2 linked regions of the Tribolium castaneum genome follow. The protein of the gene in region 2 interacts with the protein of the main gene of each other region in a biochemical or structural test. Links are inferred from orthologs where the notes say so. Each region holds a gene or a part of one and is shown on either strand. Other genes may lie near its edges. The genes, in order: Mkk4 and Mekk1.

What was found.
Region 1: the proteins of Mekk1 (region 2) and Mkk4 form a complex in vitro, tested with the Homo sapiens proteins (2 studies listed by BioGRID, with this or other methods). The link is inferred for Tribolium castaneum from reciprocal best matches to the Homo sapiens genes MAP3K4 and MAP2K4.

The regions. Positions count from the first base shown.
Region 1 is NC_087399.1:2,894,904-2,903,525, reverse strand, and holds the start of Mkk4 (dual specificity mitogen-activated protein kinase kinase 4), read right to left. Parts: upstream 2,809-8,622; 5' UTR 2,627-2,808; coding exon 2,605-2,626; intron 2,554-2,604; coding exon 2,367-2,553; intron 2,302-2,366; coding exon 2,269-2,301; intron 2,183-2,268; coding exon 1,885-2,182; intron 1,487-1,884; coding exon 1,181-1,486; intron 1,129-1,180; coding exon 902-1,128; intron 851-901; coding exon 685-850; 3' UTR 1-684. Other genes in the region: mRpS7 (small ribosomal subunit protein uS7m), read left to right, coding at 2,933-2,997, 3,115-3,294, 3,342-3,795; zip (myosin heavy chain, non-muscle), read right to left, coding at 5,217-5,355, 6,052-8,622. UniProt on the Homo sapiens protein: Dual specificity protein kinase which acts as an essential component of the MAP kinase signal transduction pathway. Essential component of the stress-activated protein kinase/c-Jun N-terminal kinase (SAP/JNK) signaling pathway.
Region 2 is NC_087397.1:8,507,382-8,515,318, forward strand, and holds part of Mekk1 (mitogen-activated protein kinase kinase kinase 4), read right to left. Parts: coding exon 7,830-7,937; intron 7,784-7,829; coding exon 7,321-7,783; intron 5,738-7,320; coding exon 4,335-5,737; intron 2,754-4,334; coding exon 2,618-2,753; intron 2,568-2,617; coding exon 2,406-2,567; intron 2,354-2,405; coding exon 1,887-2,353; intron 44-1,886; coding exon 1-43. UniProt on the Homo sapiens protein: Component of a protein kinase signal transduction cascade. Activates the CSBP2, P38 and JNK MAPK pathways, but not the ERK pathway. Specifically phosphorylates and activates MAP2K4 and MAP2K6.

The sequences.
Region 1 (8,622 bases), on a different chromosome or scaffold from region 2:
TATTGCTCTACTGTGGAGGCATTAAACCATGTATGTGATTTTCCGTATCTGGGAGCGATAATAAACTGTTGCTTGTTTTCTGTACAATTTTACTTTACATACTCAACATCGTGTCGTAAATAAACGTACAATTTGCTTATTCTTAAACAATTGAGTAAAAAATTAAATATTAACAACATACACTAATTATATACAGTCAAAGATCGTACATGGTACAATAGAACAGGCAACGTTTTATTGTTTAAAATCGGTAACAATTTGAAAATAAGAAAAATATACGCGAAAAGCACCTCGAATGCATCCAATAAATGCTAAGACATCACATTAAATTCGAACTCAAGACCGGACATGTACTATATTATATACAATGGACTGTTTTCTTAATCAGTGGCTTCATCTATGTAACATTTACGTTACTAAAGCTATTATTTATTACATTTGAACCTAAACATAACGCGACCAATCAATAGAACACTTAAATCGGACTAACCCCGAACGATTTGATAGTATTGTCAGATTGTTTTCAAGCGAATTAGTTCGATTTAATCCGATTGGTCTGAAATCTCATCTCGAGTTTATCACCAAGGAATCGCGAACGCCGCGCAATTGCACAAACTTACCAACCAATAAATGATTAAGCGACAACTCACTAACAGTTTTCTCTACATCACCTGACTGCTTACTTCACTGCTGGTTCGTCGTGAACGCGCTGATCCCGTTGTTCGCCATCTCGTCCATGATGCGCGAAACGTAGGCTGCAACGTCCACTTTCTCCTTCTGCGCCCGCAAAATGAACGGGTCTTCGAGCAGTCGCTTGTACTTTGGTCTGGAGTGTTCGTCTTTTATTAAACTAGTGAAGGGAAAAATCAATTTGGGACACAAAAACCACTTGCCGCCTTACCAAGTATTTACAAAATTAACAAACTCTGACGTAAAAGTATTGGCGTTATGGTTTTCGGTAAGGCGCGGGGGTTCCCCGTTAACGACTTGGTGTAATTGGTCGAAAACGCTCGACCATCTCGGGTAGGGAAAACGACCGGTGGCCACCTCCATCAGCGTTATTCCCAACGACCAGACATCGCTTCGCACGTCGTAGCCTTTGGCCGTCTGTGGATCGATTCTCTCGGGCTAAAAATACGCAAATTATTTGGGAAAAACACCACAAATCTGCATTATTTACAGCCATATACGGGCGACATCCAGCATCACGTGTCCGTGCAATTGAATCGACCAACTGTCCCGAAATTCCAAAATCACACAACTTGATGTTTCCCTTCCTGTCTAGTAAAATATTGCTTGGTTTTACATCTCGATGTATTATTTTTAGTTTCTCCTTTAAGTAGTTTAAGGCTTTCACAGTCGCTAGGGCTATTTTTCCGAGGATTTCTTCCGGAATTCGATCGCCCAGTTTGTCGTAGATGAATTTGTAGAATTTATCCAATGAGGTGTCCATTAGTTCCATCACGATCCAGCAATCCCCCTGCAACTTACATCATAGAGCAAGAAACACCTTCACAAGTCTTTGAATAATGTGAATAAAATATGCAACAAACGGACCTAGTTATTTTTTGCCATTACATAAAATAATAACAATTCAAAACCGAACTAATCGAATGAAACATGCGAAAATAACATCAATCTGGTATTTTTTCAGGTAGTTTTGGCGATACTGTTAGAAAAAAATGCAATTCCTTATCTCAAAAATAAGTATTAACATTGTTTTACTGCTTCTCTATTTAAAAATAGAACGCTTACTAATTTATCAAAACATAAATTAAATCCACGATTGTGCAAGTTTGGTGTTTTTATACCGCTAAACAAATTTACTTTCGTTTATCTTCAAATACGTAAGATTGAAAAACAAAAAAACCCAAAGCAACCAACCTCCTTAAACAGCGCCCCATAAAACTGCACGATGTAATGGCACTCGTTGCTTTTCATCACCACATCCAAGTCCATCAACAGTTGTTTCTGTTCCTTTTCATCAACCGTTGACCTTATTCTCTTCACCGCAACCACAGTTCCCGACTTTCTATGCACCATTTTATTCACAGTCCCAAAACCGCCCCTTCCTATCTCCCCAATGTCCTGCAGATCATCGGACGTAAAATCGTAGGTTTTGCCCCCAATTTGGAGCTTCCCTGAGGAATTCATCGACTGGCAAATTTTGAACCGGGAATCCCTATAAAAAATAAACAAACCGTACAATCACAAAACACACAAACTCGACCATGCAAAGACAAAAACACGAAAAATGACTCTGGTTACCTTTGCTGTTTATTTCTTTCACTCGGTCCAAAACTGCGAATTCAAAATCAAATTAATGAGAGATGAGTTGAAAACAAACAAGTCGCAACAAAACTCACCGCGTTCTATCAATCGTGGGATCGACTGTGGACTTGGAGATGGTCGGGAGGCTCATTTTGGGGCGGTTTGTCCCGGCTGCGGCCCCCAAACGCTCGCTGGTGGCCCCCGGCTGGCTGGGCAGCGGGCGAAAGCCCCCGATGGAATTCACACTGTTGGGCAAGTCTATGCTCAGCATAGGCCTCCGGACTGGAAGCAGCCCCCAATAAACACAAAACAATTGCAACTTTGCACACATACCTTGATTGGACTGATCTGCCATTTTGCACAAAAATTCGACCAAATTTAAGACGCGAAAAACACAACTAACGTGCCGAACTAGCTCATCGAAGCGTCCCTAAGCTTAGTCTGGTGTCCGAAACCGATTAACATTTGATTTTTACTCAAAACTCACTCAAAAACTGCCTGGAATGGAACTAAACGACGCCATTTTGACGTCTACAAAAAGCCTACGGTTGGCTACAGTGGGAATACAACGGACCAGCACAAGTCATTGTGGCACCCAATTGTACCATCGTCCAATATTTGCTTGTCCGACTGTGTGCGGCGGGCATGCGCACGTGTTAACATGGCTGCGATTAAGTTATTTTCAAATAATTTGAAAATTATTAAAGGAAGTGTCCCCACTTTAAGGTAAACAAGCCCCAAATTTCGTTACCATCACTAAACGAATTGGTCTCACACTTGTTGTTGCCAATTTCCGCATTTGTGGTCCCCCTAACCACACATTTTCCAATGGTCAATTTTTAGCCTAATTATCCAGAAAAATGGCATGTCGCAGTACCCAAGTTATTACATACAGCCGGTCTATAAGAAGGAGGTTCAAGAAGAGTTGGCTAAAACCGGCGAGGCCCAGAAATTGACCCACATGCCCACGAGGGCAGCCCTCAATAACCAGACTTGTTCGCACACTCAGGATGACTTAGTCAAGTAAGGCCCCCACGATGGCTCCAATTCGCTTCAATACACTTTTACAGTCTTTTCACCAATTATGTCATGAAGGACGGGCTCAAACCCCTGGCTAGGGGGTTAATAGAACAGGCGTTTGAAAACATCAAGAGAATCCAATTGGAGAAGTACCACAAGTGCCAGGACCCCGAAATCAAAGCCCAGATTGAGTTGGACCCTCGTGCGATTTTCCACAAAGCTGTGGAGAATTGTAAGCCGATAATGAACCTAACACCCATAAAACGTGGGGGTGTTAGGTATCAAGTCCCAGTGCCAATCACGCCAAAGCGGAGCCAGTTCATGTCGATGAAGTGGCTCATAGCGGCGAGCAAAGAGAAAGATAAGAATGTCAGGTTCCATTATCAGCTAGCGCTGGAGCTAATTGACGCCGCAAATAATAAAGGAAGAGTAGTTAAGCGGAAACAAGACTTGCATAAGCAGTGCGAGGCCAATAGGGCTTACGCACATTATAGATGGAGCTAAACTTAATAAACACCTCGTAAATTATGAATATTTTATTGAAGCCTGCTTGATCTAAGACACCATACCTTACACACAACTTAAGTGTTTCTTTGGATGAAAACTGCTGAATTTTTAAATACAGAGGGTCGGTTAAAGACCGCGACAGCTCCGAAAGTGGCACTATGTCTTTCAAAGGCACCACAACGTCTTTCCGGGACCCCCAAAAGTTCAAATAAGCAAACTTGACTTGCTCTTGTTTTTCATTTAAATACACTATTCCGACTAGTTTATTTGCAAAGTAACCGAGACCGTACAAAGGCACAATTCCCGCAATTCCAAGAGTTGCAGTGAACAGGACATGGTCGTGCGAAAGAATGTTTAACTGATTTAAAATTGCAGTTGTTGGTAGCGCGACTGAGGTTAAAAGAGTTTGGTATAATTTGAGACGGTTGATTAGGCCTACGCCCCGGACGAAGGGGAACTTATAAACTGTCTTAAATTCGCTCTGTGTTACAGTACACAGAGGCTTAATTTGGCTGTACTGGGGGGAAATAAGCCGAATGAGAGACATCCTAAACTAAAAACAAAGACTTATTTTTGTATAATTCAACAAGAGGGACTCACTACTGTATTATTACATTACATAACTACTCCAAGTGGTAAGAAAAGTGCATATTTGGGCTTATAATGACACAAATCAGCAAGTCCTACTGTTGAGGTTAGATTTAGCCTATGCAACCTGTAATACAGTGTAGGGGACGTCGGGGTAAAATAGACTCACTGGACGAAAATCGTGTGTGCGTGTGCTAATTTGAAGTTACTTGCTTGGTAACAGTAAATTTAAAAACGTCGACTTTTTTACGATTTTATTGAACTCGTTAAAGTACAAATAAATCAGCCCGAAACCCAAAATATGTATATATTTTTTATACATGAAAAGGATATATACATACAAAAACCTGAAATTTTTTATACAAAAACGTCAAATATCAAAATTTCCTCGATGCTAGCGGGATTTTTTTACAAAATATATAATCCTATAAATGTTGTATAAAAAATGTCATTTGTCGTTAGCGATTATTGATTATTATTATTAATAGATACATAAATGTTATTTAAATGCTGATGCTTCCAACTAATTCCTAAATTTATAAAAGGTAAAGTACGATGAAACCCTAGAAACAAATTAAGCAAGTAGACTTTCATATAAATAAATGCAATCAACTGTTAAAAGTACAAATTAATCACTATAAAGCACGATATTAAAATTAATAAAAAAACTATAAATAAAAAAAATAATGAACTTGATTACTGATACTGATTAAGCGCCGAACTGACTGTCCGATTTTTACAAATAATCCACAAAATGCGCATATTAAAAATGCTAAGTACTAATAAGGGATATACAAATATATTTACAACCGAATGCGTAAAAATGCGACCTAATTGGGGGCGTCTTCGCCGTCTATGGCGTCATCCTGGGTTGTGGAATCGTCACCGGAGCCGTTGCCCCCGGACTGGATGGAGCCCCGACCGCTGAGTCTGGGCAGACCCATGCCGCTACTAGCCCCAGTCCCGCGCCTATCATTAAACCCACAAATCAACACACAACCAACAACAAATCCAGTCATTAGTCAAGCAAAACAAACAGAAAAAGCGAAAGAAAAACGGTTAGGCTAATACCATCAAACACCACATACCACATGATCACCGGAAGAACGCAACTGCTATCATTTAATGCTGAAAGAGCCAAAAGAGGGTGAACAAAAGTGGAAAAGTGAAACAGCCATTCCATTCAACGAACGCGACACTTTGCTTTCACTTTATAATCACAGCCCCATTTGTAAAAAATACAAATTGATGACGGACGGGACACAAAAAAAAATTGTTTATTGTTGAAAATCATTATTGTGCTATCTTAAAAAGCACTAATTACAATAATTATTATTGAAATAAAATGTAGAACTTGTTAAAACTACGAAAACGAAGAACAAGGCAATGGATAACGACTTGTGTTTACTTTTTGTTTATACATAACGGATGGGACAAAAAATCTTATGTGTGAAAATAACTAAAAAAAATATTCAGAGAATGAAAATTTAAATTTCTTGGACTTTTTTAACGACGTAAGAAATCAATAACGGACGGGACCGCAAAAGTTACGAAGATAAAAAATAATATTACTACTCAATTTCGGTGTCAGGTTCATTACCTGGAATGGCCGAATGACTGCGTGAGAGATGAAACGAAAGCGTGTAATTTGACGTGAAAACTCACCTCAGTTTGGTCTTAAGACTGTTAAGCTCCCGCGTCATTGATTCATTACTCTCCAGCATATCCTCATAATCCCTTTGCACTTTCCTCTTCTGCGCCTTCTCCCTCGTTATCTCTTCCTCGGCCTCATCCAACTGCCGCTTCAGCGTCTTAACCCGTGCGTTCGCCTTATCCACTTGCTCCTTATACTGGTCGGCATGTCTCCGCTCATCCTCCAACTGCATGACCAACTCCTTCAACTTCTTGTCCAACTTCCGGTTGGTCTTTTGCTGCGCCAACCTCTCCTTGGCCTCGACCTCCAACTGCTCCTCCAAATTCCCAATCTTGCTCTCCAACGCCGCGATCGTCGCCTTCGTCTTGGTCCTTTGTGCCGTCTCCAACTCACTCAACTTGGCCTTCAACTCCTTATTCTGTCTCTCGAGCAGCAATTTACCCGACTCTTGTTTCTGAGCCAGTGATCGTTCCGTGGCCAACTCACTCGTCAATTGCTCAATAGTCAACTGTGCCTTCCTTGCCCGGTCTTGCAACAGTTCATTGTTACTCTGCTCCTCTTCAATCTCCTCCTCAAGCGTGGCAATCCTAGCTTCAAGACGCCGCTTCTCATCGATCAACAACGCCCCCTTACTGTTCGTATTATTAACCTCTTCGAGCAGTTCATCGCGTTCGGCTTCGGCAGCTCGACGAGCGCGCTCCGAACTGGCGTGATCTTCGCTCAATTGAAGCACCTCAGCTTCGAGTGCTTTAACTTTACGTTCGGCTTCTTTACACCCGGCGGCGAGTTCGTCGCGCGAAGCGCGCGCTTCTTCGGCGTCTCGCACCGCCTCCTTGCACTGCTGTTGCGACTTCTTCAACTGTTTCAACGCGTCTTCTTTCATCTTGCATTGCATTTCGATCTGAGCTTCGAGCTCTTTCAAATCGCCTTCGAGTTTCTTTCGAGCGGTGACTGCGGCCGCTCTTTGCTTCCGTTCTTCGTCCAGTTCGGCCTCCAAATCGCGCAATTGTTTGACGATTCCGCGGCGTTTCTCCTCGGCTTGCTCCTCCTTGGCTTGGACGTCGCGTTCGAATTGCGCCCGCAATGCTTGCATGTTCACCTCAAGTCGGAGTTTTGCATCTTCGGTGAGTTGTAGCTCATCTTCCAGTTCTTCGTTCTGGGCTTTCAGTTCCGCCAGTTGGGTTTCAAGCGAACGTTTGGCTTTCTCCAACTCGTGCACGTTCTTGTCGGCGGTGCCTTGATTATTGACCAGTTCGTCCAGTTCGGCCTGAAGTTGGCGCTTGATGCGTTCCAGTTCTTCAACTTTGACGTTGGATTCGTCCAGTTCGCGGCTCAGTGACAAGACTCGAGTTTCCTTCTCGCGGGCTTCTCGCTCAGCGGCGTCTTTTTCCGCCATCAGTTGCTCACTGACTTGCTTTTCTTCGGCCAAGACTTTATCGAAATTCTTCTGCTTCTTCTCCAGCTCGGCCACTTTCTGGCGCTGCGCCTCCAAATCAATGTTAGTATCTTCCAGTTCGGCGGCGATCTTCTTCTTGCTTCGCTCCAACTTGTCGTTGGCCGCGGTCAATTCCTCGACTTGACGTTGCAACAACTCCAAATCTTTGGCCAGTTTCTTCTTGCTTTCTTCCAAAATCGCCGATTGTTCGGCCTCATCTTCGGCCTTTTTCTTCGCTTCGGCCAGTTGGACCATAACCGCGTTCAATTGTTTCTCGAGATTTTTCTTCGCTTCTTCCTCCTCCTCGATCTGTTCTTGCAAATTCTCCTTGTCCGACTCCAATTGGCGCAGTTTCGAACTCAAAGCCAACTTCTGGCGTGTCTCCTCCTCCAGGGCACTTTGTGCCTCGGCAAATTGCGATTCGATAGTTCCTTGATTCTTCACAGCTGCGGACGCTTTCAGTTCGGCTTCCTCCAGCTGTTGGACCACATTGTCCATCTCCTGTTGTAGTTTTTGATTTTTTTCGGCAAGTTCGGCTCGAGCTCGTTCAATTTCGCCCAGCTTGCCTTGGATTTCGACCAATTGGCTCTCGGCTTGTTTTCTTCGCCGTTCGCCTTCTTGTCGACTCGCTCCGACATTTCGCAACTCGCTTGTCAAGTCGGCGTTTTCGGCTTCGAGTCCTTGCTTCGCTTTTTCGATACTGGCTTTCTGTTTCTTGATATTTTCCAATTGTTCGTTCAAGGAAGCCAGTTCTTGGGTGTGTTTGTGGCGCATGTCGGCCAAAGTCGCTTCATGGACTTGGTTCTCCTCTTCCAAGTTCTTCTTCAAATTGGCGAGTTCTTGTTCACGTTTTGAACGCAATTCTTGTTGGGCGGCTGTGGTATCAAGTGAGTCCAGTAGTTCGTTTTTCAACGCTTCAAGTTCTTCGTTTAAGTCGCGTTTTAATTTTTCGGCCTTGCTCCTGGCGGCTTTTTCCGCTTCTAAATCCTCTTGTAGTTCGCTGAGTTGGCTTTCCATCTCCCGGAGGGCTTTCTGGGCTTGGGCCTTAAGGGCGCCTTCTTCGTCGACTCGGACCATAGCCTGGGCCAACTCCTCCTCTCTTTTGCCCAACTGTAATTGCAATTCTTCAAGTTGTGATTTTTTCTCG
Region 2 (7,937 bases):
CTGCTTCCGAGTTAATCGCTCGTTTGCCTCATCCTTTCTACAGCTATTTAATAACCAATAAACGAATTAAAAGGGCGCAAAACATCGAATGGAGGCGTAACCGTCTTCGAGTGAGCTGAACCAAAAAATTGGGAGAATAATATTCATTCTCTCCCGTTTCCGCAAAATCTCACAAAATCTTTACGTGGTACTTTTGTAATCTCGTTTAGCCGAATTATAAACTCAAAATTTAACATTTTTACTAAATTTTGCAAATATAGACCTATATTTGAACTTTAGTTCGCACAGTTAGCTGATAATACTTCAAGAAAGCGTTCACTTGGCAAACATTTTATTTTATTCTATTTCAGAAGCTGCTACAGCAATTATAGACTAATTAACGAAACAGTTTTAAGCAGATTGTTTAATTTGTTTCACAATTAGTAATAACAAAGTCAATGAACACGAGGTTTTTACAAATTATAGTTCTCAAAAAGTTAGGTAAAATTCAAAATTAATTAGAAATGATGGCATACAAAAATCTTAGAGTGGTCCATAAATGGTTTAACAGTAGAAAAAATTATGTGTATGAATCAAATTTTTGTAAACAATTAAATTTAATTTCCTGTGCAGCAAAAAAAGGGTACAAAAGAGAAACCAATTTACTATTAAAATTACATGTTTTAGTTGCAATTTTTTTTATAATTGTAAAGAACTTATCATTAATAAGTTTAAACATTTGAAGCTTTATTTTTCTTAGACGTTACCCAAGTATGAGAAAAATCCGTTATGTCTAAACATTTTGTGTATCTTATAATTTTTTTGTTTGGCCCTTGATTCTGAAGTAAGAAATTATTTAAATAGATGTGTTATAATTTTGAACATTCGCCAATTAAAATAACTAATCCATCAGAATTTTTAATAAATTTAAAGAGAAAACTTGCAAAAGGTAAGTACTATTACAGTTTCGACCAAATGAACTTTGTTTTGATCACAATGTCCGATTCTCAGCTTAACATTTTCAGTTGCCAAACATACGACCAATTTTTCAAAAATAACGACGCGATAATGAAAAGAAAGTCCGATTAATAAATTTAAGTTATTGACAAACCAAACTTTTTTTGATTATAAAATGTTAAAAGATTAAAAGTTTATCCAATGTAAGAAATCTTATGGAATACAAAACATTTAAGAAACCAGCAAATTCGCCAATAAATCGCATCCGACAACATCGGAAATACAAAAGCAAGGGAAAAAAATTAAAAAATTAAACAAATAATTAAAAATTAAATAATTTGGGAAAAATTGCGTACATTTTTATGTTTAGCCGAACATTTTTTACCACAAGTCAAGAGAAAACAAAGAAATAGCAAGAAATAAATATGCTTCTAGATCTTAATACAGGGTGGTTCACGTAATTTTACGAAGCCTGCATCTGTAAAATGCATCAACATTACATGTTTTGTTACAAACTCGATTACAAATTTTGCAAAATTTGATAGTCTTCTCTAAATTTTTCATTAGATTCACATTTTCTGTCAATTTTAAAATTTCAAATTTCATTCAATTTGGATTTCTTAGTTTAAAAAAAACAGATAATTTTATTACCCTTAATTTTATTAATTATTTATTAACTATACCCGACGAGAGTTGGGTTACTGTCCCAGACAACTTAATCAAGTAATTAAAATTTTATCACATACATTTTTAGTTTTTATTCATACTGATAATAATTAGAAAATTTATTTCACCGAATAGGCATTTTTATAATAAACAGACATAATAGAATTTTTTTTAAGCGTTAACAAAAACTTAGTCAATGAGAATCTGCAATAAAATTTAGCTTTCTTCGTAGAAAAATTCTGGTTTAGCTCGCACTCGAAAATTAACTAAGCAAACCCACTTACCTGTGTGGATTAAAACTAATAGCATCCAAACTATCAATAACCGGCGACCCTTGTTCCATGCTAGTTTTGCGACTATTCGATCTTTGGCTTTTATACGAAGGCCTCGGACTCGGGGACGACCCCCTCGACCTGGCCCTTATATGCTCAATCGAACTCCTCGGCGACGCCGAATAAAACCCTGACTCCGGCGTCGAAGGAGCCGTAGTTCCTATCACATGACTTATGCAAACATCCATATTCTTCTTCAGATCTTCGAACTCTTCTTCCGTCAAATGCTTAGTGTTTCGAGGTTCACACACAGTTAAGAGAAACTCCAACCCTTGATAAGCCCACCGTGGTCTCATCCCTCGCCCCCTCTCGCATCGTTCAGTCACGAATTTCATCCACAAATTCGCAAATTGTACCATACTTCTAGCGAGTTTCTCGCGCCTGTCCGTAGGGATGCTATCGGACATTTCTTTGTAAAACTAAAAAATTGGAAGTTAATTGACGGTGAAGCTTGTGAATTTTTTATAGTACTTCGAAGCCGAAACGGTAGGCTTGCATTAAGATTTCCCTTGTGCGGGAGACTATAGCCGTTCGTTCGATTTCTTCAAATGAGTCTAGTTTGACTTGATCGAATTCGGACTGGACACGGCCTATGGCGTCGGGTATTGAACATTTTAGGGAAATTATTGAGCACTAAAATGTTAGTTATTGATTTGGCTAATTATGAAGAAGAAAAAACGTACTACTAGTTCTGATCTGCAATCAGGGTGAAGGTCGTGGCGAAAGACAGTCTTGCAAAAAGCAATGGTTTTGATGCTCATTTCGCGCTCTTCGTTGAAGAGAGACTGCATTTCGCGGCAAATGACGAACACGGTTTGCCTGGAATATAACAATTTAAAATAATCAGTATGCTTTCGTCTGCAGTGTATGTTGAAATCACCCAGTTCCGTTATAAATCTTTAGTATTCAGGCAAAATTCGGCTTTAAATAATGAATAGTTTGTTAGTGGAGATTAAAATTTTTGATTGAAAAAATGGAACTAATCCAGATTAATTATTGCAATGACACTGCAGATCATAGATTTTTGAAGTACGGATTAAAACGAGTAAAAATTCCGAGTATTTATTACTGAATTATTAAAATATTTAACAAAATATCAAGAAAATTCAATTATTAGGAATAACTTCAATTTAAACTTTCTTTTTGTCCCCATAGCAATTTTAAAATCAGGCTTCTAAGAAATAAATAGTAAGATTTGTTAATTTTTTTGTCGGTTACATTTTAAGCCTTCTTTTTAAAATCTGAATCCTATATTATAAACACTATTTTAAAACACGTTTTCGATAGCAACGTGTTTTCACTATTTTAAAACACGCTTCTCGTAGCAACGTGTTTTAAATTACAATGTTCCCATTAAAAAAAATTTGAATAACACTTATGCGAAAACGCTTAAAGTTCTCGCATACGCTCGTTGCATAACGACAGCCTCGAACTTTAAGCTTGTGTTTTCTCACTTGTATTAATGATTGTTATAAATCTTTCTTTTTACATTGTTTTATAAAACGCTTGAAAACTGAAAAATGACACAGCAAATATTTAGAATAAATTTCTTTATTTTTCATTAAATTGCATTCTACCTTAACAAAAATAGGGAACGATACAACGGAAACGTTAAAAAATTTAAAAAATGACTACATTTCAGCACTTTTTTTGTAATGGTGAATTATGAAATAATTTTAAAATGAAAAGTTGAAAACTTTAATCGTAAAATAGGTCTCTGGTTTCCTTTCATTCAACTTGCTCAGATTAGATGATGTGAGGAGTAATTTAGCTGAGATACGTTAAAGTTTCTGTTAAAACAAACCAACAAATGATTTTGAACTACATTAGTAACACTAAAAACAAAAAGATTTTTAATTGGTTTCTTCAATTTTACTGTTTTTTTTGCAGTTGAAATTATTTTAGAAAAAAAAAGTAATTACAATTCGAATTATCAAACGCAGTCAATACACTTGCTGCTTACAGGAGGATCGGATAAAAGAGCCTTTACTGTACCGCTCTATTAGGCAAACATTCGAGTTATTAATTTATTCTCACGAAGTAATTTCCCTAAAAAAGCGTGAAATACTGTTTATCTTTTTGCGATAATAAAATACTCATTGCATATTTAAACTTTCCAAACACATGACTGTTGCATTTGACTGATATACAACTGAAATAGCGATAAAGGGCGACCTTCAGCTGCACATTTTTTCATTTCCACTTTGTTTAGCCGAGAAAAATTTACAACAGCGCTTATATCAAATTATCATTTGTCGCTTCCAGTTAATAAAAATTTAAAGCTTGTTCATGTTTGTTGTTTACATAAACAGCAAACAATGGAATTGGCGGAAACTATTATAATTTCCCACCGAATCGAATTAATTTTTTTGGCAACAAATTAACATTCCCGTCACTTACTTGATCATATTTTTGTCGTCTTTGGGCATGTTACAAAGCACGTCCTCGATCCGATCGTGCAGCCTTTCAGCGACCGACTTTAAAATCGAACACAAAATAAACACAAACTTTTTCCCTAAAAGTTCCGACCCGCCCGGAATATACTTAATCACATTACACGAAAAATGCCACTCTTCTTCCAACAAATTCTTCTGGAAAGTCTCATGGTGCAACAAGGCCCACTGTTCCAGATAGTCCAAATAGTCACTAAACACCCGCAACATACACTCGTTATAATCCCTCATCTTTTCTTCAAACACATCGTTCGGTTTTTTGCTATCAGAGATCGCACCGTCAATGTACTTCAAGATCTTTTCTTTTTGTTGCGTTGCGACTTTTAAGCCTTCTTTTAACTCCCTCATCAGTTGGCGGACGCTCAAAGGAGACGGTTTTTCAGGTTTTTGCTCCAAACGCATCTTCAAAAACTCGTGTATCATTTTGAGCGGAATTGCGGCAAGGAAGAGAAAAATTGCACGATAGGATGGCAAGTTCAAGGCTTTGGCTTCAGGGCTAAAGTACCCAAAACGTTGCAACTCTTCATCTTCCGTTTCACAAGTCACTTTGTTGTAAATATCGTCGGTTTCCGGTTTGGTCAAGGTTAGCTGAACACGTCGCAAAACAACCATTTGGAGATGATCCAAGAAACTCAAACTTTTGTGGAGCGATCGCGTTTTAAGAATGTTTTCGATGTATTTTCGATATGGTGAGACCGAGCTTTCCGACTTATGCACATGTAAGAAGGGAAAAGGCGCAAAAGAAAAAACAGTAGCATCCTGACTTGACTTGCAATCATAGAACGACTCATTTACCGAAGATGAGGAACTGTTATTGCTATCACTGGGACTGTTTGATTCCGTCCCGTTTTTATCATCATCTCTACTCACTTTATTTTCTAATAATTTAACAAGAATCATTAGTTTCAGTCTCTGCTGTCGCGTCATGTTGTACCATAAACTGATAGCCTTGACCCTCGCTATGAACTCAGGACTGTTATATAATGGGTACAGTTCGGCAAAAGCGTGTCCGGAAGGGAACAAAGCTTCCACCGCTGATAATCTTTGCATCAATTCTTCCACATCTTTAAGGGCTTCGTTTTGGGCCTCAAGACACGAACCACAGTAGATTGAAAGACAACCAGAACAGTCGTCCTCAACGCCACTGTCGCTGCTTTGGGTCGAGTAACATTTCGAATTTTTTTGGTAGCGATAAGTCATTATATCATGTAAAAGAGGTTCAACTTTTTCCCGTTCGGAACACAAGTATCTGTCTTCTTCGCTTGGGGTTCGGTCCGCATGGAACGCTTGCAATTCAAGCCAAATCAAATCTTTAAATTCGTTTTGCCACAAATGCTCCTCCTTGCTCAGCTATAAAAAAAATTAAACAACGGTAGTGTGCGAGTTTTAAACATCAGGTATAATATTTATTCAGCAAAAACAATGAATGTTCAGTAAAAGTTGTTGGAGGTAGCGAATTGCCATCATTTGTTTGTTTTTAGCAGTGATAACAAACTTCCACAAAATGTGGAAAATACTATTTATCTTAGATTAACTCTACGGATAACTAACCCATATATCAAAACAGCTCAAACTTCAGCTCTTCCCAAGAAAAATGATCTGAAAATTTCGAATCTGGCTTTATAACCAATAATTTTTAAAATCAAAGTTTAGATCCTCAAGATACAATAATAGTTGTATTAAGAAATGAGTACTTTCTTAAAATTTTTATTTAACTTGCTTTGTTGTCTGACTGTATGTTTCATACTTTCCGAGCCAAATTAAAAGGGTTTCTGTTGTCAGAATGAATTGAAATTTTGCATACTTACGTAATAATCATGACAATGCAATCCTATAGTTAATAACCCCCAAAGTTTTTATAAATTTTAGAATCATAATTTGTAAGCGAAAATACTCTCCTTTGACAAAAACATTTTTTACCTTTTAGTTATCTTTAAAAAATAAAACTTTTTTTTAAACTTATAATTGTTTTTTAATTGAAGCTAGATAGTTCGGATCAAAATATATACTTGAGCTTAGATTATTCTAGATTTCTGAATACCTATGTTTTTTACTACATGTGATATAAGTTTTTCTTATAGAAAATTGTCTGAGGATTTCGAAACTGTTCTTATTTTTCAACTACAGCTAGTAGTATCCTTAAGGTAAAGATTAGTTTGAAGAAATGGGCACTTTTAATTTTTTAAATGTTGGAATTTCTTGATGTCTTGAACCATTTTAACGAATTCTAGACCCTGGTTTGCCTTTTTGATCTTTATTTAGTCTAGTGTCAATTTTTCGATGTTGTACAAAACTACAGTTAAGTATCGTTTGTTTTAGAGAGACATTAAAAACTAATAAAAAAATTACCGCATACTATGTAATGTCCAATTACTTTTTTTATTTATTAAAACTTATAAAAAATGTATATTCTATTAACAAACAAACGTCTTTTTAAGTTTTTATTTAACTTGCTTTGTTATCCGTTTCATATTTTGCGAATCAAATTTGAAAAAGTTCCTGTTATCCGACCGAGCTGGATTTTTACATACACACGTAATCTCCCTGACAATGCAATAATATTAAGTTTAAATAATAATTTATAAACAATTAAAAACTGGTATAAACTTATAAACCATTATTAAGTTTGGTTCATCAAAATTGTACGAGATCAAAGCTTTTAACTGTTTCTGAGTTTTTCATGAGCAAAATTATTCAAGAATTCTGAATCTGAATTCATTTTTTGTCTACGAGAAATAGTTTGTAAGATATCAAAGTTTGATTAAAATTTAGTTTCTTAAAAACCAAACACTGATTTTTTTGAGTTCAGAGTCAATACTAGTTATGGCCTTGTTATAACATCGAGAAGAAAATATAAATAAAATACTGATCAATCATCGTTCTAGACCGAACAAACACTTAAGACTTAAAAAAATATAAAATAAAATACTTACAGCGCGTCTGTGACTCATTTCCTGCGTTTTATCACCGCAGCCCATTCGAATTAGCATTGAGAAAGTGTTGTAAAAATCGACTCGATTTTCGGAACACTCCTCATTGCTAATTTCGTCACATTTGACTTTATTATCTTTTTTACTCTTCAACAGTTTCGAGCAAGGAACAGTCCGACAAGACAAGCTCATGAATCTTTTACAGCTCTCGATCTGATAACTAGGTTGTGGTGTTTTTGGGTGTTTGAATTCTTGGTTTTTCTCAGAGGCCGCTTGGGCACTGGCAATGTCCAGCTTCAGGTCACGTTCAGACCCTCGCAGCATTTTCAACTGGCGCTTGTTGGACCTTTTGGAGCCTTGGTCCGAGTCATTTTCGGCCTTGGCAACAAGCTCTTCGAACATGCTGCTGATGGTGTTACGCCGACTTAAGGGCTTAGGTTTGATGACTTTAGGTGAGGACATCGTGCTGGAATTTTGCTCAGTGAGATGGGTTAGAAAGAGTGGTTTTTTACCTTGTATCTTTGTGTTTCTGCTTGCGTTCGCGATTTTTACGCAAAATTTTGGTTCGTGGTGGGGTTTTACTGTACAAATCGTAGTCACTTAAATCACAGTCTTGCTCG